6 linked regions of the Rattus norvegicus genome follow. The protein of the gene in region 2 purifies or fractionates together with the protein of the main gene of each other region. This does not show direct contact. Links are inferred from orthologs where the notes say so. Each region holds a gene or a part of one and is shown on either strand. Other genes may lie near its edges.

Region 1 (4,050 bases), on a different chromosome or scaffold from region 2:
AGTACTTGAACAGACACTTGCTACAGGAAAGAGCAAATGATTAAGCAAATTGGGTTATAGCAAGATGCAGGATGACTAAGGGCACAGAAAAACTCTAGTAAACTAGACATCAGTGTGAAAAAACACCTGGTATAATGTGAATACCAGGATTCCAGGGCTCTGAGCAGAGCTATGGAGATGTGGCTCTATGCCTCTTGTGGTTCTTTGATTTTAGATAGATTCCTGTTACCTTTGGTCGTCTTGTCATTTCAATCTGTGCTTGTAGATTTACCGCATTGGTCACATAATCGTTTTCTGCCCAGGACTCTATGTGGAGCTCCTTATCCACTATGTGCCGCACAAGCTACGAGTTAAAATACCATTCTGAAAATAGCCATTTGGCCTCCAAAAAGATAACTTCCCCATCACGACATACCTAGCACTTACAGTGATAAAGGCTAACAGTAAACGAGAGTGCAACTGTGCACCGAGTAGCTTCAGAGCCTTAAATATGCTCCTAGAGACCCTAGAAGCTTTTTAAATGTATCTTTATTGCATAGATTAATACGGAGAAATGTTCCTAACGAATAGAGACTTAAAAGTACCTGAACACTACCTCTGCTGCTAAATTGATGGGATTGCAGTTAATTATTAAATCTTAAACACCTTTTTCGTTTTTTTATTGTGTTTTGTTATTTTGTTTTCTGCACTCAATATCTTCTTGTTTCTGTCTCCCAAGTTCTAGGTGGCAAATGGCAGTAGGCCCCGGACCAGGCTTTCAAACATTTCAATACTGGTTATATTATGTTATATATTATACATTTGTGTATGATCAAGCAATTGTAAAACCTGGCCCAGCACAACAGGAAATTGTTCCGCAACAGAGGGAGAAGCAAACCAAAATGCCCTGGCCTACTCAGCCCACACTCTACCCAAAAGAGGAGTCTGCGAGGGCGGGGAGATCCCGCTACACTGAGCGGCCAACGCCCCGCCCACGGAAACGAATCCTTCTCTTGGGGCCAATCCGCAATCCTAGTAAATAACAAGCGGGCGTAGTTAGAGGCAAGGCTGCTGTGGGCGGAGCCACTTCGGAAGAAGGGACGAAACCTAGGGCTAGTAATGATTGGCTGGCACGGAAGTGGGCGGGGCCTGCAGGTAGACCCGCCTCGCCGAAGGGTGGTGCCTAAGTTAGGATGGACTCTGAGTGCGGCGCCGCAGGCCCCGGAGGCGGAGCCGGAAGTGGGGCGTTGAGGTCTCCTCCTCCGCGTTCCGTGAACCGGCGGTTCCCCCGCTTCTGTTCCTAGTCCTCCCAAGTCACAGCCCGATTCCCGGAGGCCCGAGCCCTTAGCCAGGGCGGGGTGGCGCGGGCCGAAAGGACGCCATCCCGGCCTCGGCCATGGAGGCTCCCGCGCCGTCTCTCACGGAGGAGGACTTAACTGAAGTGAAGAAGGACGTGAGTAGCTCCGCCGGGCTGGACGCAGCGGGGCGGGCGGGGGCGGAGGAAAGCGGAAACCCAGAGCCGAGCGACGGGGAACCTCAGGTCGGAAGAGCGCCAGGTCCCGGCACAGCACGACCCGCCTGCTTCCCCGGAGCTGGCTTCAAATGATCCACCAGAGACCTGGGAGTCCACGGTTAAACCTGTCAACGCCGGCTTGGGTTTATCTTTGCTATCGGCTTCTCGCTGGTGGCTTTCCATCCTGTTGATCCCCGACTCCATCCCATCCCCGAGGGAGCTGCTAGGCTAGGGAGCGGTCCGAATCTGTCCACAGCGGGCTCTGGACCAGGTATGCCCCAGGCATAGAGCAGATAGGTGAAACTCTATACGGGGGGCTGCGGAAAGCTCGCCCTTTGAAAGGACGCCCTGGAATTCCCCTAGTAATCAGACGCCCACATATTTAAATGAAGGGGATGTGCTTACTTCTCGCTGAGACTTGACTCTCTCAGGTAAACGTTGAAAATAGTCATAGCTAAATTGGACTCTCCTGCTTAGACCACGTAGAACTTCGCATACACATTAATATTTGAGAATATGGCTTTAAACACAACGTGCTTCGTTTTTCATTCCCTTTAATTACTTATTTTGCCAGGAAAAAAAATCAAATGAGTACCATTTACATGATATATATGGATTCACTTTAAAAACAGTAATTTGTTCGTACCTAGCACCGCAGTGCTGGTGAAAAGTCGTCTTTTCGAACTTGACTGCAAGTTGTTGCAGATGTCCGCGTGCTTCTGATCTCTTTTTCTACTATACCTTACCCCTTGTAAAGGTTTATTGCACTGTACCCAACCCATAATTACAGCTGGACTAGCTCAGTACCAGAAGGAAAAGGTCCAACTGGCATTACTGCCATCGTTTCCGTGTTCAGGGGAATTGGTAGGGCACTTACTGTATGGGAAACTTTACATTTCTACTTGAGACTAGGTCTTTGATAACCACTCCGGCCTTAAGATGCCAGTAAAACCGTAACCTTAAAATATGGTAGCTGCGGTCTCCGTTGTCGGACACAGTTTTGAATTTTCTCACAATCATTAAGGGAGAGAATTGCTTTTCATTTTGTAGCTGGCAAAACAAGCCAAGACCTGAGTATAGATAGAAGAGTGCTGCAGACCTTTGTTTCTGCCCATCGACGTCTATCCATTCTGACAGTTTCAGGTCAGACCTGTATCAGCTGTCCATAACCTTAGAGAAACTTTAGATACACCTTAGGATGTCTATAAAAACAGTTTTCTTAGGTAGTTACCCAGTTATTTTTTAAACTGCTTATAACAAGCTTAAAAATTTATCCGCAGTTCTTGAACTTCCTTTTTTCTCAACTCCAGGCCTTTATTTCTACCAGAACCAAGCTATAACATCATACATTTGGTTGTTGTTTTTCTGTGTAACTCTGGCTGTCCTGGAACTCATTCTGTAGACGAAGCTGGCCTCAACTTGGAGATCTTCCTTCCTCTGCCTCCCAAGTGTTGGGATTAAAGGCATAGCCACCACTGCTTGCCATGTTCTTTTATTTTCAGAACTGGAACTTTTCGTTATCCTTCCCCCAAAACTGCTTGGTGTTCCTTCTGTGTTATCTGCTTGGATAAATGGTGGGAAGTTGTTTCCATGGGGCTCTGTCTGACTCAGGGTTTGCTTTCTTTGGCTTCTGTTGCCTGTGGGTCAGCCATAGTCCAAAAATACTTAATGGGAATTTGCTACATTTATAGTGTTACAGATTGAGCACCATGATAAAATCCTGGCCAGGGGCATGAGTTGCACCTTTTCCCCAGTACTGTGTGTCACCTGCCTGTTAGTCTCTTCATAGCTAGCTGTGTGGGTTATTACATTGGTTTTGATGGAGGAGAGCTTGGGATGGGGTTGGTACTGTGAAGTTTTGCACATCCATTGAGAATCTTGGTCCATGTCCTCCCATGCTAGCTGGGAGCGAGTCTTCAGTGCTCCTCCCCTTCTTCATGTTTATTTAACATGCCCCTATTTTGGTTGAATTTGTTCCATTTTAACAAATAGAGATAACTTTATATTCTGAGTTGATAATGTAACAGTTAAACTAAGAACTAAGGGACTAGAGAGATGGCTTAGCAGTTAAGAGCACTGACTGCTCTTCCAGAGGTTCTGAGTTCGATGCTCACAACCATCTGTAATGGGATCCAATGCCCTCTTCTGGTGTGTCTGAAGACAGCCACAGTGTGCTCACATAAATAAATAAATCTCTAAAAAAAAAAAAAGCTCAATTTCTTGAATGAAGGAAAATAGCCATAAAATAATAACTTTAAAATAGTATATTAAAATTTTCATTCATCTAAAGCACTGTACTTTGAAATGCAGAGTATACAGCAGTAAACAGAACGTCCGTGCTGTTTACCTGCTTCAAACATACAGGTGGTGAAAGCTGAAAAGGATGTCTGTCATTTACACAAGCACATTTGTAAGTTCACTCGGAGCTACGAAGACAAGCACCAGGGCAGTCATTGTACATGCAATTCGATCCTCAGGTGTGCTTGATTGATTCTTAAAGGTTCTAATAGAGAACCTGGGAGAAGAGCATTTGATACAGAGAATTTGACAAGGACCTA
Region 2 (3,500 bases):
TTTAACCTACTACTTTTACATAGTTTTTTTTGTTTGTTTGTTTTTTTTTTTTTGCTATATATTACAAAGAATACTGTCGGGGCTGGGGATTTAGCTCAGTGGTAGAGCGCTTGCCTAGGAAGCACAAGGCCCTGGGTTTGGTCCCCAGCTCCGAAAAAAAGAACCAAAAAAAAAAAAAAAAAAAAAAAAAAATACTGTCCAGGCAATAAAATACATCACTTTTTAAAAAAATAGATAAAATGTAAAGATTACAGGTTTAAACTAGATTTATTCTGCTTTATCAATGGAGAGACAACTCAAACCCTATAGGTATCTAAATAATTTTTTCCAATAAACTCACCAAATAAGTGTTCATATAGCGTAGAGTCGACTTCCTTCAGAGAGTTTTTGAAGACGCTGGCTGCAGCATTTCCCTTGACTAAGATGGTGTCGATGAGCTCTCTTGCTTGTAAGGGTATCTGTGTTTTCTGTCTGATAATATCATGTTCCTCCTTTGTAAGTACACTGGCCTCAAGAAGATCATCCAGGATAGGAATGACACACGTCAACTGTTGGAAGAGGGCCATTCTATTCTTCCGAATCAATGACAAGTCACCTTCATTTAAAAACAAGCAAGAAAAAGTTCCATTAAATTTCAAACACCCCCAACTTACACCCAACCAACCCTATGTACAAATTAGGCACTAAGCTGAGCTTGAAGGACTTCTCAGAAATGACTTGATTGCACATCAATGCAATCAAGTGTCATGTTAATCTTACAGATTAAACTCCGATATATCACACAATTAAAAAAAAAATCCTTCAAATTGTTGTGAGCAAGCAGAAAATTTTAGAGAGTAGTAAACCATGTGTCCTCTCTTTTTTCTCTTTCCCCAGAATCCTAAACTAGTTGAGCTTTCTGGTTTGTTATTTATTGAGACAGGACCTCATGTACCTATGTTCCCCCAATCCTGACTCTACCTCCATTCCAAGAGCTAGGATTACAGACATGAACCCCTATGCCCGATTTACATAGTGCTGATAATGGAACTCAGGGTTTGTGAATGTCAGGCAAGGACTCTATCAATAAGCTACATCTTCAGCCTAGAGGCTGAGACTCCATGCCTTCTATACAACTACAATGCTCAAGAGCTTAAGCTACAAGACATGATGGACTATGCTTGGCTCCCAGGCAAGTCTAGCCACTTAATAGCCATGTGTCCTCCTGCTATATACACCTGATCTGAAATAGGAATAATATCATCTTCCTCAAAGAATTAAATAAAATGCACATAAACCACACTGCACAATACCTCACATGTAACACATAGCCAGCTTTATTTTATAAATCTAAATTTATAGTATAGTTTTTAAAAATGAATCTAGCTTATTCATAAGATTACTTTACTTCAGAGATGAGAAACCTTCAATTTAATTGAATGTACTACCTACTTACTAACCAAAAGGCCAGGATTGAAACATAAATCTATCTCAATCCAGAAGTTAGAATTTTAAACTTTTTGTGATATGGTCACATAATAAGGCTGTAGCCAACTAGACCTCTCTTTTTTAAAAAAAAAAAAAAAAAAAAATTTTTTTCTTTCCTTAGTGTGTGTTGGGGGAGGCAGTCCTGCCACAGCACCTAACTTATAGGAATCAGTGTGTGTGTGTGTGTGTGTGTGTGTGTGTGAGAGAGAGAGAGAGAGAGAGAGAGAGAGAGAGAGAGAGAGAGAGGAAGCGTGTAGCAAGCACCTTTCCCCATTAAGCCATCTTGCAGGCTCCCGATGGCCCTCTAATCCTGTCTTTGCAACCACTATTCCCAGCTAGTCTACATACTCCTTGAAAATAATCAATACTTCACATTTATTTACTTCTACTATTTACATATTTAAATATATGCATATTTGTTGAAGATATAATTACCCAGAGGAAGATTTATTCAAGGAGATTAAGACTTAATAAAATCTACACAAATATCCAAGTCATTTGTCTATTATCCTTGGGTTGGGCAAAGGACCACAGCCTAGGATGTCATCTTAAAATCAAATTTTTGGTGTAAGGATCACCTACCAAGGATTATTAGGTAAAATGTCATATTAGAAACCAAATTTGAAGGAACTTTATTTAAAAAGTAGATTCTTGCTTTGGAATGTAGGCTGACCGTAAACTCAGTACCCGTCTTACTCTCCTGAATGCCACGATTGTAAGAATTAGGTATGTTCCATTACAACCAGCTTTGAACCAGTTTTTAGATCTTGCTTAAAAAACAAAAACAAAAAATTATGTGTATGTGCCTGAGTGTATGTTTGTGTACCAGGTACATGCAAAGGTCTTAAGAGGGGGTCAGATCCCCAGGAACTAGAGTTGTAGGCAGTTGTGAGACACTGGACTTTACTTAGACAATAGAAACCAAACTCAAGTCCTTTACAAGGGCTCTTTACCACTGAGCAATCCCTCAAGTCCCTTAAGTCATGCTTTTTTCAGTTTTAGTTATGTATACAGAAGAAATGCAATACAGCTCAAAAGAAGTTTATTGTAAATCTGTGTAATGTTACATATACATGTAACCTCAGCACTTTGGAGGTGGGGGCAGGAACCTCAGGGATGTTCAAGGACAGCACTAGCTATAGACCGAATATGAAGCTAGCCTGAGCTTGGCAAAGAGACAGTTTAGGTATGTCCAGAGGAGGAGAGTATCAGCAGCCATTTATGGGTGAGAGGTGAGGATGCTGCACGTAACAGGTAACTGAAAACCTGCAGCCACCAATGCTACCTGATGCCGTCTCTTCACTCTGTCTCTCCTTCTCCTCTTCTCTTCTCTCATCTTCAGCATTCAGAAGTGCTGAGACAATATCACTGACCGTCCTGTAGTTCTCACCAGTGGCCAGGATCTGTCGCTGAACCGTCTGTCTCACCAGGCTCCTACTGAAGCCCATATCCAAGGCTGCTTTAACCACAGGTGTGTTCATCATCACTGCATCTTCCCAATTCTCTCCAGGGCCCAGATGCACAACTGTTTGTAAACAAATTTGCTACTATTAAACTCCACAAATTTAAAACTATGGAAAATATAATGCCTGTGGCACCATTTTTATTCATGTCCTAATAAATGAGACATACCATGCGCAACAATTAAATTAATTTCAATACGATTTGAACTTTGAACAATTAGTGTACTATGCATCTTAAAAAAAAAAAAAATCACTTCATACAGTACCTACATCCTGCCGTAAACTTAAAACAAAAAAATCTCTTGGCAATTTGCTTAGGAATCTGTTGCTAAAAAAATTTGAAGTGTTGTTGGAATGGCTCAGTGGTAAAGACACTTGCTCCAAGCCTACGTTCAACTCACAGAATCCATAAGGGGGTAAGAAGAGAACTAATTCCCAAAGTTGTCCTCTTTTTTAAAAAATAGTTTATTTGCTTCTGTGGCACTAGTGTTTTACCTGCATGTGTAAGGTGTTGGGTCCCTGGAACTGGAGCTACAGACAGTTGTGAGATGCCTGCATGCAGGTGTTGGG
Region 3 (4,039 bases), on a different chromosome or scaffold from region 2:
CTAAACTATGTAAAAAGGGGGGCATTAAATTTGCTCTGATCAACAACAGTAGAAAATACTGGGAAAATGTTTTAATGAACTATCTGTTGGGGCTGGGATGCCGAGGTCGATGCTCTGGGTTTATTCCTTAAACGTTTCAGGGAACAGACCACATGCATGAAACTTGTTAGAATTTGAAGTGTTTTGGCCTTTTCCTTGTTTTACTTTCTGAAAGGAAACTTTGGTAGACAAATTCCTTACTGATAGGTGCCATGAGATGAAAATCTGGATGAAATTTGCCTTCTGTCTATGAATGCAAAAATTCTCAGCAAACCACAAACGTTTGCTTTTCGGTATACACTTCCTTAATGTAAACTGCATTTATGCTAACCAATTTGGACACACATTTTGCAGACCCTCTTTGGATGTAATGTTCGAAAGCTGTTTGCAGGGAGCGTACGAACAGCTGCTTTTTTGTAACTCTGGGTGCTCGCCCTAGATAGGGCTCCTTGGCTTCCACCACACTGTTTTCATTCTTTCCTGGTAGTTTGAGCTGTAAACTGGATATGAAGCCAAAATGATAGGAGAGAGGCGTCTAAGCATGTGGATGGAAGAGAAATAGGAAATGTGTAGGCTCGGTTTGATCAACCAGTTTATTATTTTAATCTGAGAAACAATGGAGTACAGTTTCTAACTATAAAATCAGCTCTGTCAGGGAAACACAAGGGCAACCTGTTTTCTTCGAAGTCTTTTAAAACGGCAGATTGCTGCCTCGTTTGAAATGCCAAACTCACACAGTTGTCTCTAAAGTTATCAAAGACATTGGATTTTTTTAAACATGAAACTTTGATATTGCCTATTAAATGTACCCCTAATAAATCAGGATATTGGTAATTATTTGGGCTTCTTTTTTTAATCATGAAAGCTTTTACCTCAAACCAATAGCCAATCTCATTCTTCATATTAACCACTAGGGAAATTCCTCTGAGATCAGAAATGTAACAGTCGACTGCTTTTTCCTGTGTTATGAAGCCCTGATCCAGAAATTCTAGCTGCTATGCTGAAGGATGGGAAGGAGGAAGCAAGTCCACATATTTTTCTTTTTAATCTGAAAAGGTCATGTGAATTATATAATTTAGAAAAAATTAGAGATCAATAAAATGACTACATAAAATTATGAGATCAAGATGTTAGCAGTAGTTAAAACACACCAGAAAGAAGATCCTTACACAGATAATTCCCCTAGTGCACACATCAGAAAGGGACAAAGCAAACTAGCCTGGAACACGTTCTACAATTTATATGTATAATGTATAATGCAAAGGACTCCATATGTTTACCGGAGTCCCATCCTCAATGCATAGAAAGACAGGATGTTCACAGACAGGAAGGTTTTAAATGGCACGGACACATTTCTAAAATTCCAACCAGAATTTTTTCCCCAGGGGAATTTAACAGTTGTTTTGAGTCATCTTGGTAACCATAAATCACAAACGTTTAAGAGAAATAACTGGACATTTCTCTAGAACCCCAGTTGGCTTCTGGGCATACGTTTTGAGTGTGTTGAGCTGATACAGAGTTCCACATTCCCAGAGGCAGACTAGTATTTCTTGCTATGTACACTCACGGAACTGTAACCCTAGCGATGGCAGAGGACGAGTGAGAAGGGAGACGGTTTCCAGTGATGACGTGATTATTCTGTAACTCAGATGAATTTGTTTTCTCTCTTCCCCATCCTACTCCAGCTTGGGTAAAACATCTCAAACACAGTTTCAGTATCGTAAGAAGACAGGTGGGTTAGTGATAAAAAGCCAGGTAAAATGAAATGGTATGACTTTTTATTTAAGTAAGTCTTGTCTGACTATACCACTGAAAACATGTGATCCTTTTCTTTTAGCAGACACTCTTATTGAGTGTCTAGAAACTATTTAATACAACAACACTGAAAAGAGTTCTTGATATTTAGTTTGAAATTGTCCTTGAGAAAATAATGTGATGTGATCTTCAATTTTAATTGTGGTGATGGAAATAAAAGGGTCTGTTGGAAACAGCATAAGCTTTGATTACTGTAATTAGAATAGCTTGTAAAGCTAATACTTGATGTCATACATGTTCATTATTACATAGTTCTTATGAGAGTAAAAGTACTAATGCTAGTTTGGCATTTAGAAAGACACATTCGATCAGGCTGGAATTGATTTTTCTTAAATATAAGCAAAAAGTAGGACTATATATACTTTTAATTTACTTTCGACATAGTAAGCTTTATGTAACCTAACTTGGGCCAAATATCTCTCAGTCTCACAATACATACATACATACATACATACATACATACATACACACACACACATCATACACACACACACATGTATATCACTTCTTGAGAAGACTCACATATCAGATAAAGACTTTTAAAACTCATTTCAATTAAAGACATAACCCATTCTATCTTAAAAATTAGGCAAAGAGTAAAAGAGTCACAGTGCTTTAAAGACTGTTTGGATCCCTCTAATTCTGACGACGATGCCAAAAGGCATCGCTGACTCGTGCCTGGGACCGCCTAGTTGGCTGGTGCCGGAGTGGAGTAGATCTTACCACACTTAAGGCACCCCAACCTCCTTACTAAGCTAAGAATCGAAAGAAATTAGTAAGAGTTGATTACCTCTTCTCCAGGTGACAAGTTTTCCTTCACTGACTGTGTCTCTTTAAAGACAGGCACGGACACATTCTGGAAACCGTTTGCACAGGCTCTACCAGATGCTGCCCAAACTGTCCTGAGCTCTCCCTTGTGTGGAAGGAACTGGGGACTTCCACTGAGAAATCCCCTGACTTGAAGACTTCCTTATTTGTAGCTATCAACAGCCAATCATGGCAAAATATTGAAATGAAGCAAAAACTACCAGAAAATGTTCTGAAACCACCCGTGACTCTAACTCTGACTTCCTTTTGAAGCAATGATATTTCACCTGAATAGTTAAGACATTTAAAAAAAATCTAGAAATTACAAACATGAAAGTTTAATTTGGAAGAAGTGTTTTTCATGTAAAACGTTTCAAAAGTAAGCTTATTTGAAAAAAATTGCCATTTTAGCCTTTAAGGAGTCACATTTGACCCCAAATCAAATTTATAAATAACAGGCAAAACCTAAATTTAAGTATATTTTTCTTTGCTTTCTGACTTACAAAGGTCGGTTGGATGAAGCCTAGAGAGAAAAAATAATAATAATAAGGTGTATCTTAAGATTCCAGAATGAGACTGTAAGTACTAGGAAGAAAAATAAAGCAAAAAAGGATTCTTTAGACAGGATTTCTAGTTTGACACGCAGGTCACTGTTGACACAGTTGAGCACGTGTTCCCACACCCTGGGGGAGTGTTTCTCTCGGACCGCATGGAACTAAACTGTGGGCTTTACATGTAAATGGAAGACAGCAATATCTGGACATTTTTCTTTGTTATAAAAATGGAAATGTCCTTAGACACGATCTGTTCCATTTCCCCTTATTGCAGATGATTAAACAGAGGAGGGAGAGTGCGCAATGTCACAAAGTTAGAAGCAATGGGCACTTGGAGTGGTCTGTCTCCAGGTGCAATTCATACGTACTGTACTGTGCTCCTTCACAGCAAGTTCAGGAGTCGGAACAAGATTGAGTCCTGGGGGTAGTCTCCCTGCTGAGTTCCCGCGTAAGTGTGCGGAGGCATCTCCCAAAACTCCAGTTAATGGAAACTAAAATTTCCAATTTCCGATTCATAGTCTAGTCCCTTTACTACTTTAAAGCACTATTGTCTCTTAAAATTGCATCTTAAACACATCAGAGATAATGCTGCATATGGTGGAATTATTCCTTCCCCAAAAATATTTTTTTTTAAGTTTCTAAAGTGCTGAATAAGCATGTGCTTAAAAACTCTTCTATGTGCTCGTAAAATACGCAGCGAAGCGTTTGTTTTCTTCCAGCTCTATGTGCTTGTCACACTCTCACCGAGGAATATCAAATACTAAACATGCTTTCGTGCAACGGGAAACTAAAATCTTACAAAGTAAATACAACGAAGTGAAACA
Region 4 (3,974 bases), on a different chromosome or scaffold from region 2:
CAGGGCAAGGAAGGAGTGGACAGCTGAGTTCAAGGATACATCCACACCACCCCACCCCACCCAACCCACCCCACCGAGCAGGCGCCACATCACCTGTGTGCAGGGGAGCCCAGGATAACTTTATGAATGAGGACACCATGCTGAACATCAGGGAAACTTGGCTCTCGGAGCTGTAGCTCAGCAAGGATGCTGGAAGGGTACAGACCACTCTGTTAGCAACACACAGGCCCTCTCCCATCTTGACAGTTCACTTTCTGCCTTCTAGAGCTTAGGAAGTAGGATACACACATAAAAGACAGCTAACTGGGGCTGGGGATTTAGCTCAGTGGTAGAGCGCTTACCTAGGAAGCGCAAGGCCCTGGGTTCGGTCCCCAGCTCCGAAAAAAAAAAAAAGAACCAAAAAAAAAAAAAAAAAAAAAAGACAGCTAATTTCAAAAGATACACAGTGTTGAATCAACTTCACTTCTGTCACTCTGAAATTCTACGGTAAGGAAGGGGTAGAACTTAAGCTAAGCCTAGAAGGGTGGGCCCTACAACTGTATGAAATAAAGTTGAGACATAGAAGTGGAAAGTCAAAGTCACTCTGAGGAAATGATGAGCTGTCTAGAAGGATAACTAGAGGTGGGAGAGATCGTTCCTCAATGCTAGGGCAATGGAGGCTTTACATTATGGTAATAACAGGATGTACTCAGTCTACTGAAGGGTACGAGATGCATAGGTGAGAAAGTTATGATGAGAGGGAGCAGCTCTGTGACAGAGACAACAGCTAATATTAAAGACAAACATAGGAGCAAAAGCCAAGAGGTGCACCACTGAGAACATGGGTCCTATATATATGTATACCTGGGGGTCAGAGTCAGCATCATCACTCCAATGTAGCGGCGTTGGGACCCACTGATTCCAAACCAGGAATCTGTAAAGAGAACATGAGCCCACCAGCTTCATTCTTTCCCTTACTTCCTACCAGTTAGACCCCTCTACACCAAGTCCTGATGAATGCCCCTCCCTTGGGTCCCCTCCTCCATTTTAAAGGAATCCCTTTCCCTGTAAGACAGGCTCACTTTTCTTCTCCCCGCGATGCAGGAACTCCCTAAGGCGATCAGAAGGGATGGCAAAGGAGATTCCAGCTGTCACCTTCATGGTGTTCACTCCAATCACCTCCCCATCCTGCAGGGACACAGCCCCATCCCCTAGCCCACACAGATGGCAGAGGATGGGGGCACCTGAACAAGAGTAGCAAGGATTTGGGGACAGGGGTCTGTCTGACTATGAGGAGACGAACAAGAGGCTAGAGACTTAGCTAAAACTCCCTGAATCAGAGGATAACACACACTTCCCACACTGACCTGTGGGGCATGCATTCTTAGAACATGGGCACTCACCAGGTTAACCAGGGGACCACCAGAATTTCCAAACTGTGAGATAAAATGAAAGAAAACATCAAAAAGATCTGGAATTCCATGCCTCTGGGAATTTTAAGACTGTGGTCATAAACAGGGTTAGGGAAATACTTCGAATTCCATTCCTAGCATGAACTAGAGTGGCTGCATTTTGCAGACCAACCTCTGCTACAGGCCCAGTCACCACGTGTCAGCTGGTGTCAGCTGGTGATCATACCTGACAGCTGTTGCCCCCAATTCCCACCTAGCACCTAATTTCCCTCCTCTCAGGACGCACGTCAATAGCTGCATCGGTCTGAATGTATTCCACGTTGGTCTGAGGGAGCCCCAGGTCCCTGGCTGGTCGCTGAGCAGAGCTGACAATGCCGGACGTGATGGTGTTCTGCAGAGCGAAGGGACTTCCCATGGCAACAACAAACTCCCCTTGCCGGACATCAGCGGAGCGGCCGAGGGGCAGTGTGGGAAGAGGCTCCTTAAGGGAAATGAGTACACCAAAACTGGTCATTTTAAGACGGAAGGAAGTAAACTGCTGCCATCAGATCTGGCCTACTCCATTCCCACCTTGGTTTGAATCCTTAATGTGGCAATGTCTGCTACAGGATCCACAGCTGTGACCATGGCCTCATAAGTGTCTCCGCTAGGTAGCCTCACTCGCACTCGGCGCCGATCAGCCACCACGTGGGCGTTGGTTACGATGAGCCCATCTGAAGCCACTATGAATCCTGAACCGTTTGAGATGGGGACTTCACGGCCGGAGAAAGGGTGCCTGGGATGGGGAAAGCACCGATTACACTGCAGCTTCCACCCTATCCTGTTCCCTTGCCTTTCCGGCATTTGGTTTCAACACCACCTGGTCAACTTCACCATTACCGGTCTAGGATCTCGATATAGACCACAGCAGGGGCTGTCTTCTCCACCACGTCTGCGATGAAATTGTACTGGCTCCGGGGAGAGGTGGGTGGCGGAGCAGGAACAGCAGCCAGCACCGTGGAAGGACCCCGCCCCCAACCCCACAACAACAGCAGCACTGCACCCCCTGCGCCCAACGCCACCGCTAGCCATTCGCGCCGACGGCTTCCAGGGCTCCCGCAGTCCTCCTGGTCACTAGAGCCTGGAGTCCCCACAGTCAGTCGTACCCAGAGATCCGGGGTCCCAGACGTCAGATTTGCCCGTGATGCAAGGACCCCCAAAGGCACCCGGGCCGGGAGACTGGGGGTCCCATAAGTCATCCGGGCCTGAGGGTCAGGAGTTCCTGACGTCAGCAGAGCCCGGAGGTCAGGGGCTAACAGGGGGCCCTTCCTCCAGAAGATGCCCCCCAAAGCCCGCCATGCCCGAAGGCTCCAGTTTGCACCCCGCCCCGCCTTCAGCGCAGCCATCTGCTCCGCCTCGGCTCTCCACGCCCGCCCTACTCAGAGGCGGTCTTCTGGAGCCCAGCAAGCCGTCTAGGAGAAGCAAGGCATGCCGGTATCCTTACAGTGTATGCCGGGAAATGTAGTCCCTTCAAAGACGCGCTCTCTAGACCGTACACACGCCCCCACACAAACACACACACATACACTTCCCCCGTGCCGCGAGGCATGCTGGGAACGCTAGCCCTTCCGGGGCGCCTCCGGGCCACGGGTTCTAGCGTCCCTGCGGCTGCCCAAAGACTCCGCCTTCCCAGGAGCCCCCGCGGCCCTGCGAAGATGGCGGCGACAGCGGCCCCACTTTCCTGAAGCGGCTGCGATGGAACCTCCCCCAGCTCCGGGGCCGGAGCGGCTCTTTGACTCGCACCGGTAAGCGCTGCGGAGGGAAGAGACCGGTCAGCGCGTCCCGTCGGCTTCGGCGCCTGATCGCGTCGCCTCTCGCCACAGGCTCCCGAGTGACGGCTTCCTGCTGCTCGCGCTATTGCTCTACGCGCCGGTCGGCCTCTGCCTCCTGGTTCTGCGACTCTTCCTCGGGCTCCACGTCTTCCTGGTCAGCTGTGCTCTTCCTGACAGCGTCCTCCGCAGGTGCGGACTGCGGCGCCTGGGGATCATCTGGTCTGGGCCTGGCTCAAGACCGCACAGTCACCGCCGCCTCTGTCCCCAGGTTCGTGGTACGAACCATGTGTGCGGTACTGGGGCTCGTGGCCCGACAGGAGGACTCCGGACTCCGGGATCACCGCGTCAGGGTCCTTATTTCCAACCATGTAACACCTTTTGACCACAACATAGTCAACCTTCTCACCACCTGTAGCACCGTGAGTGGGGGGCGAGGCCGAGAGCGCCACCGGGTGGCTCCCTAGGCCCAAGCTCAAGGCTCACCTTTACCCATTGGGGTTTGCTTGGGGAATACCGAGCCTTCTCCCTCGAGTCCCATAAACGCCACCCTATGTGTTACCTTTTTACTCTTTCTTCTCTTCTTTCTTTATTTTTGACATTTCCTTCCATTCTTTTCTTTTTGCTTTTTCTCCCTGCTCTCAGCCTCTACTCAATAGTCCCCCCAGCTTTGTATGTTGGTCTCGGGGCTTCATGGAGATGGATAGGCGGGTGGAGTTGGTGGAGTCACTCAAGAAATTCTGTGCTTCCACGAGGCTTCCACCCACACCTTTGC
Region 5 (2,780 bases), on a different chromosome or scaffold from region 2:
ATGATCACAGAACCCTGGACTAGCAATTACTGTGTAAGAGATAAGCAGAGGAAAATGCTTCCTTTTCCCACTGGGTTCACGTCTCTCCCTCCTAAATGCCCCAGCAGGAGTCGCTAGAGACCTCGTATGATCTCTGGAGAGGTGTAGAGGGAGAAGCTTTCCCACATCCATCTGGCTTCCGTGTCATTGATTTTAAACCCAAGGACTGTGCTTGAGTACATACATGGCCTTATTCTTATGCACTGATTCATGTGTGTGTTCATGTGCATTCCTGTATGTGCATACATATGCAACTATATGCATGCATCTGTTGAACTCAGTGCCCCATGCTTATGTAACAAGCACTTATGGACTGAGCTGTCTCCCCAACCCTCTGATTATTTTTCAGAAGCTATCATCCTTTCCATGGATAAGAGGCCCACCCATGGCCCCGTATACATCAAAATCTTCACATCTGAGCCCATCTTCTTCCAACAACTCATTAACAGAAGGCATTGGAATTTGTTCTTAAATAATTTATTCTTTTAATATTGACTTTTGTGAAGTTACAGTTCAAGGTAATCTGAAGTCCGAAAAAGGTAGACCCCATACTTTGAAAGACAACTGTGCAAATTTCACATACTTTCTATAATAAGTATAAATAATTTCATGATTTCACATTAACAATGAAAATATCAAATAAACACAAAATAATAGGCTATTAACTCTGAAAGAACTAGATGAAGATGCATTGTATTTGACATCTTTGGGGAAGAAGGACAAAGATGTACGTCAGGGAAGGACACGCAGCAGATATGAAGAGAAAAGGCTAGGTAGAGCTCGACATCACAAGTATCGTCAGGTGCTGGGCCAGACCCCAGATGTCAGCCTTGACCCCTGCACAGCTGCATTTCCCTCCTGCGCAAGTCCAAAGCACACAGAGAAGCTGCGAGCCAATGGCAGAAACCTCCTCATCCTCATGGCTACTGGCTTTGCTATCTCAATGTTCCGATCCGGTACCCAAGGGGCACAGCATTTACATAGTAAGCAAAGGTCGTGAAAGGACACATATTTCTGTGTCCTGTCCCACTGTCACCTCACTCCATTCCTATTTTTCTTCAAAGAGGTAGGATACTTAGAAACATCTATGGAAGACAGAACGTTTTCTTCTTGTGCAGCCAGGGAGTCATAAGAAGCATCAGATTCTACAGGCTTTGTTCAGAAAGCAACCCCTTCTTTCCTAGGGAGGCAACAAGTAGAGAGAAGACAATCACCCCACCACACTCTGGGGCCAGGAACTCGCCGGGTTCCCGGGACATGGTGAAAAGCAAATATGTTATTTCAAGAGAATACTGTGGAAGGGACTCTTCATTTAAATAATTCTGAAGTTCAAAATAAATAAGGCAGAATGAAGGCTCCCTTTAAGAAGGCAGCTTGTTGAATTCACATAACAAGCTGTCAGGGGCAACCTGACAACAACCAGAAAATAGGTTATTATTATTCAGTCTACCTCTAGGGCACCATTTCAATGTCTTAAAAATCCCTCATACATAATATAAGGGTATATTACATTTGTACACACTCTGATACACACCTCAGTCCAAACTACTCTCTTCGGACTGGAGGACAACAATGACCAACGCTGGTTTGTCTTCCCACTAAGACGGTCTACTGTCTAGAAGGTGCATACAGTCAAGAGCAGCTCGTTGTGTCTCCATGTGCACATGTCTCATTTCAGCAGCAGCCTCAGGATCACAGTCTGTGTGTGGCTCTGTTTTCCTGCAGAACCTTGGGAGCCATGTTGGCAGGTAGGGAAGCCCAGTGGCCACAGATGCGCTCTGCCGATGTCCGTTTTCCCTGAGCTTCCCCTAGCATCTTGCGGAGGAGGGCCTCGGTGCTCTGGAATTTAGCTTTGGCTCTCCGAGAAAAGCTTCCAGGGGACAGCAGGATAGTCCCAGTCGCCAGCCCACCTTCCTTTCTTCCTGTTTCCTGGCAGCCAGGCTCAGGAACCGCTGCCAGTCTTCGCTTGCATTGAAGATCTCCCCAGCCTCCTGGTAGGTGGAGCAGCGACAGCTTCAGACTGAACCCGACCTCATGCACTGCCGGTAACCAGGTCTACTCTCAGCCCACCAGGACACAGTCTTGGTTACCAACCGGACGGCCATGGCCATGATGAGGGAAGAGCTTATCTGGTCTACTTTGCTCAAAGACACTTGAAGCCACTGTCCCAGGGCCCACCCTTCCCGTGGCACTCAGGGGTCTGGACGACAGCACCACTCTGGCTGGCAGTTTGAGGCCCCCTTCTTCCGGGACCAATCAATGTGTCCGCACTTAGCCGTACATCTGCTTGAACTGGTAGCACTCATTGCAGTAACCATTACACTTGGCATTGCCAAAGTGATCGCAAGCAGGGGCCCGGCAGCGCTGCTTAGGGGGCTCTTCAGGAGTGGGCTCACCCCGGTGGGCCAAAGAAGCTATTCGCTGGCTTAGGTGCTGGCACTCCATACAGAGTTCCTCACTGCGACAAGCCAGGATGTTCTTGCAAGAGGCCCGGGCACACTTCGGCCTTGAGGCTCCCTGTGTGGTTCGAGGCATTTCTCTACGCTGGCTTGATCTCTGAGTGGGAAGAGAGAGAGAGAGAGAGAGAGAGAGAGAGAGAGAGAGAGAGAGAGAGAGAGAGAGAGAGGTGTTACATTTCTCAGGAGACCAGAGGGACTTCAAATTAACAGGGTGGATTCTACCGAGTGTTCGATCTGCCTGAGTGGGAGAAGTGTATGTGTAACTGAGGACCGCCAATCCCA
Region 6 (2,838 bases), on a different chromosome or scaffold from region 2:
CCCCTGAGCGTCAGCCTCCTCTGCCGCCTGAACCACCGGAACCGAACAAAGCACCAGCCCTGAACCTGAGCAAGGAGGAGTCTGGCACCTGGGAACCCCTGCCTCTGTCCTCCCTGGACCCAGCCCCTGCCAAAGGCCCCAGCTTGCCAGACCGGAGGGCAACCTTCCCGGAGCTGGAGCTACAACAGCTGGAGATAGGTAGGTGCTCAGCTGTGGCCATGCCCCCTGCCCCAGCTCCACCCCCGGTCCCCCTCCCCCACCCCTCGCCGCCCAGCTCCTGCAGGCTATGCAGTGGGTACCTTGGGAACCTGGTTCCTCCTCCAGCCCTTCACTGTCTTCCTCTCCCCGCTCCCCTACAGAACTGTTCCTAAACAGCCTGTCCCAGCCGTTTTCTCTGGAGGAACAGGAACAGATTCTCTCCTGCCTCAGCATCGACAGCCTCTCACTGTCAGAGGACAGTGAAAAGGTGAGCTTGGGCCAGGGGGTTGTGCGAGCCTTAGACAGGGCAAGGGCGATGAGGTCACCCTGAGGTGGAAACTTGAAGGCTCTTTGGAGAGTCAGTTGAGTGTTGGGTGGTGTTTTGCTGGGGCAAACATGTGAAGGAATGTTTTCCTGAAGTGGACACAGGTGAAAGACTAAGGCAGATTCCTGAAGGAAAGTTTGGTAGAAGCAGACACGGGTGAAAGGTTGTCCTTGCTAAAGCAAGCATATAAGAAGGCCCGTGATAAAAGTGTTTTTTGTTTTTTGTTTTTTTTTTTTTTACTGATAACATACATATATTGGTCTGCCTCATATTACATAGTTGAGCTACATTTGTTGAGACTCTATAGAGAGAAACACACCATCATCCTCCTTGCTTGTGCCCCAAACTGAGACAGGCTGCCTCTGACACACTCAGGAATCAGAAAAGGCTTTAGGTAGTATGGAGAGTGGGAGGTAGCTTTGGTCCCTCATAGAAATGTACCTTCCCAGTCTATGGTGGGGCTGGCAGGTCTGACCCTAAGAGAGGTTCAGATCCTTTTGTCCCAAAGGAAACCAAGGCCAGAGACAGTTTCCTGAGTCTGTGCCTGGTCTTGTGTTCAGAACCCATCTAAGGCCTCTCAGAGCTCACGTGATACCCTGAGTTCCGGCGTGCACTCTTGGAGCAGCCAAGCAGAGGCCAGAAGCTCCAGCTGCAGCATGGCGCTGGCCCGGGGACGGCCCACTGACATCCCGAGCTACTTCAACGGTATGGTCTGCTTCCCCCCTCTTCCAGGCCATTCCTGCCAGTAGCCAGAGAGAGGCCGAGAGACAGTTCATTGGCCTCTCCTCCACACAGAAGGGTGGGGAGAAATGTGCTAGCCATCTAGAACTTCACACTCCTCCTGGAAAGTTGGTTTTAGACAGAGAGCCCTCACCACTCACTCACAAGGGTTCCCAGAATGGAGAACCGTTGTTCCTCCGTTGGCTACCTATAGAGTCACAGAAGGCCAACCATGTGGGGAGGAAAATGGCCAATCCTGTGCTAGGGCCAGAAGCTGAATGCTTAATGCCTATTGATGGGGAAGATCGGAACGTACCCAGGAGCAGTTTAATCAAGAAGCCAGCAACAAGTCTGTTGGCATCATTGGCCGGGATGTGAAGGCAGAAGATGAGAGGGCATTCAAATGCCTTCCTTGCAGCTTCGCTCCCCAGTCAGGTTAGGATTTCACAGGTACCAGCTCTCCCCAGACCAATGTGAGTAGCTGCCAGGCTCCAAGGCCATGCCAAAGGCCACTTCAGCTCAGAGACACTCTGAAGTTGCCTACAGTCTAATTTAAGAATGTTGGAGAGAGCGGAAGCGTGATGAGCTTGCTTCCTGTCTGAACTAAAATTGGGATGTTATGACTCAAGGCAACTAATGCTCAAAACTCAACAGAAATGGCACGGGCTAAGGTTGGGTGGCATTATTTAAGAAAAAAACGTTTACTGAGTCAGGATGCGTAGCCTAACTCGTCTGTTACATCTTTAGATTTTTCTCTCCTATATTTAAAAAAGAAAGTCTCTCTTGGATCTTGGATTTTCTGGAATTGGCTTGTTACTTTAAAAATATTTGATTGTGCCCAAAGTTGTCATGAAGGGACTCACAAGGGCGTAGACGATACTTAGGGATAGGGCGGCTGTCTGACATCCTTGACTCTGTCTGAAGAAAATGGGGATTGGAAGCCTTCTATTCCATCCAGGCTTAGAGGCGCACACCTTTAATCTCAACACTCAAGAGGCAGAGGCAAGCCGATCTCTGTCAGTTCAAGCTAGCCTGGCCTGCAGAGTTCCAGGACAGCCAGGACTACACAGAGAAACCTTTCCTTGAGGAAGTGGGGGAAAGGAAGTCTTTCATCTCCATGCGTAGATGAGACACTGCATCCCTCTCTTTAGAGGGTTTTAAATGGAATTTGGGGAACTAGAATTGCACACAATTCATTATATTGTTTATCCATTTTACCACAAAAACTTGGAGTAGTCAGGACATTAACCAAACTCTGAAATCAAGTTTGAAATGACAGTCACTTGTCACCCCTCATAAAGTAGAGGGGTTTACAGAGATGTTCGGTTGTTGCCATTTTTAGGAAAATTAATATTAATGCATCGTCTTCTTTTCGGCTGTGATGCTGAACAGGGCCTTTGTGCGTGCAGGGCAAGTGGTCCACCGCTGAGAGGACACCACCAGCCCTGAATGTGTCACACTAAAAAAGGAAGTTAGTCTGTGTCCTTTGGGTTTGTAGAAGACTTTAAAATAGCTACATGTTATCACGTGTGCCTCAGTTGACTGAACTAAACCAGGAGAAAAAGATAGCCAAGCAGTGGTGGATGGCACATGCC

The links.
Region 1: the proteins of Birc2 (region 2) and Bcl10 purify together in Homo sapiens (affinity purification with western blotting; 3 studies listed by BioGRID and IntAct, with this or other methods). This does not show direct contact. The link is inferred for Rattus norvegicus from reciprocal best matches to the Homo sapiens genes BIRC2 and BCL10.
Region 3: the proteins of Birc2 (region 2) and Tank purify together in Homo sapiens (affinity purification with mass spectrometry; 4 studies listed by BioGRID and IntAct, with this or other methods). This does not show direct contact. The link is inferred for Rattus norvegicus from reciprocal best matches to the Homo sapiens genes BIRC2 and TANK.
Region 4: the proteins of Birc2 (region 2) and Htra2 purify together in Homo sapiens (affinity purification with mass spectrometry; 4 studies listed by BioGRID and IntAct, counting the BioPlex papers as one, with this or other methods). This does not show direct contact. The link is inferred for Rattus norvegicus from reciprocal best matches to the Homo sapiens genes BIRC2 and HTRA2.
Region 5: the proteins of Birc2 (region 2) and Tnfaip3 purify together in Homo sapiens (affinity purification with mass spectrometry; 5 studies listed by BioGRID and IntAct, with this or other methods). This does not show direct contact. The link is inferred for Rattus norvegicus from reciprocal best matches to the Homo sapiens genes BIRC2 and TNFAIP3.
Region 6: the proteins of Birc2 (region 2) and Map3k14 purify together in Homo sapiens (affinity purification with western blotting; 3 studies listed by BioGRID and IntAct, with this or other methods). This does not show direct contact. The link is inferred for Rattus norvegicus from reciprocal best matches to the Homo sapiens genes BIRC2 and MAP3K14.

The regions. Positions count from the first base shown.
Region 1 is NC_086020.1:237,499,931-237,503,980, forward strand, and holds the start of Bcl10 (B-cell lymphoma/leukemia 10), read left to right. Parts: upstream 1-1,250; 5' UTR 1,251-1,375; coding exon 1,376-1,432; intron 1,433-4,050. UniProt on the Homo sapiens protein: Plays a key role in both adaptive and innate immune signaling by bridging CARD domain-containing proteins to immune activation.
Region 2 is NC_086026.1:13,254,541-13,258,040, forward strand, and holds part of Birc2 (baculoviral IAP repeat-containing protein 2), read right to left. Parts: intron 2,993-3,500; coding exon 2,753-2,992; intron 596-2,752; coding exon 341-595; intron 1-340. UniProt on the Homo sapiens protein: Multi-functional protein which regulates not only caspases and apoptosis, but also modulates inflammatory signaling and immunity, mitogenic kinase signaling, and cell proliferation, as well as cell invasion and metastasis.
Region 3 is NC_086021.1:66,521,598-66,525,636, reverse strand, and holds the start of Tank (TRAF family member-associated NF-kappa-B activator), read right to left. Parts: upstream 2,801-4,039; 5' UTR 2,645-2,800; intron 1-2,644.
Region 4 is NC_086022.1:117,114,994-117,118,967, forward strand, and holds the start of Htra2 (serine protease HTRA2, mitochondrial), read right to left. Parts: upstream 2,801-3,974; 5' UTR 2,777-2,800; coding exon 2,271-2,776; intron 2,167-2,270; coding exon 1,962-2,166; intron 1,873-1,961; coding exon 1,678-1,872; intron 1,416-1,677; coding exon 1,383-1,415; intron 1,224-1,382; exon of another isoform or gene 1,168-1,223; coding exon 1,062-1,167; intron 914-1,061; coding exon 844-913; intron 190-843; coding exon 94-189; exon of another isoform or gene 88-93; intron 1-87. Other genes in the region: lipid droplet-regulating VLDL assembly factor AUP1, read left to right, coding at 3,126-3,175, 3,254-3,391, 3,471-3,621, 3,845-3,974.
Region 5 is NC_086019.1:15,528,421-15,531,200, forward strand, and holds the end of Tnfaip3 (TNF alpha induced protein 3), read right to left. Parts: intron 2,596-2,780; coding exon 2,311-2,595; 3' UTR 501-2,310; downstream 1-500. UniProt on the Homo sapiens protein: Ubiquitin-editing enzyme that contains both ubiquitin ligase and deubiquitinase activities.
Region 6 is NC_086028.1:88,667,755-88,670,592, reverse strand, and holds part of Map3k14 (mitogen-activated protein kinase kinase kinase 14), read left to right. Parts: coding exon 1-198; intron 199-299; exon of another isoform or gene 300-359; coding exon 360-466; intron 467-1,083; coding exon 1,084-1,228; intron 1,229-2,838.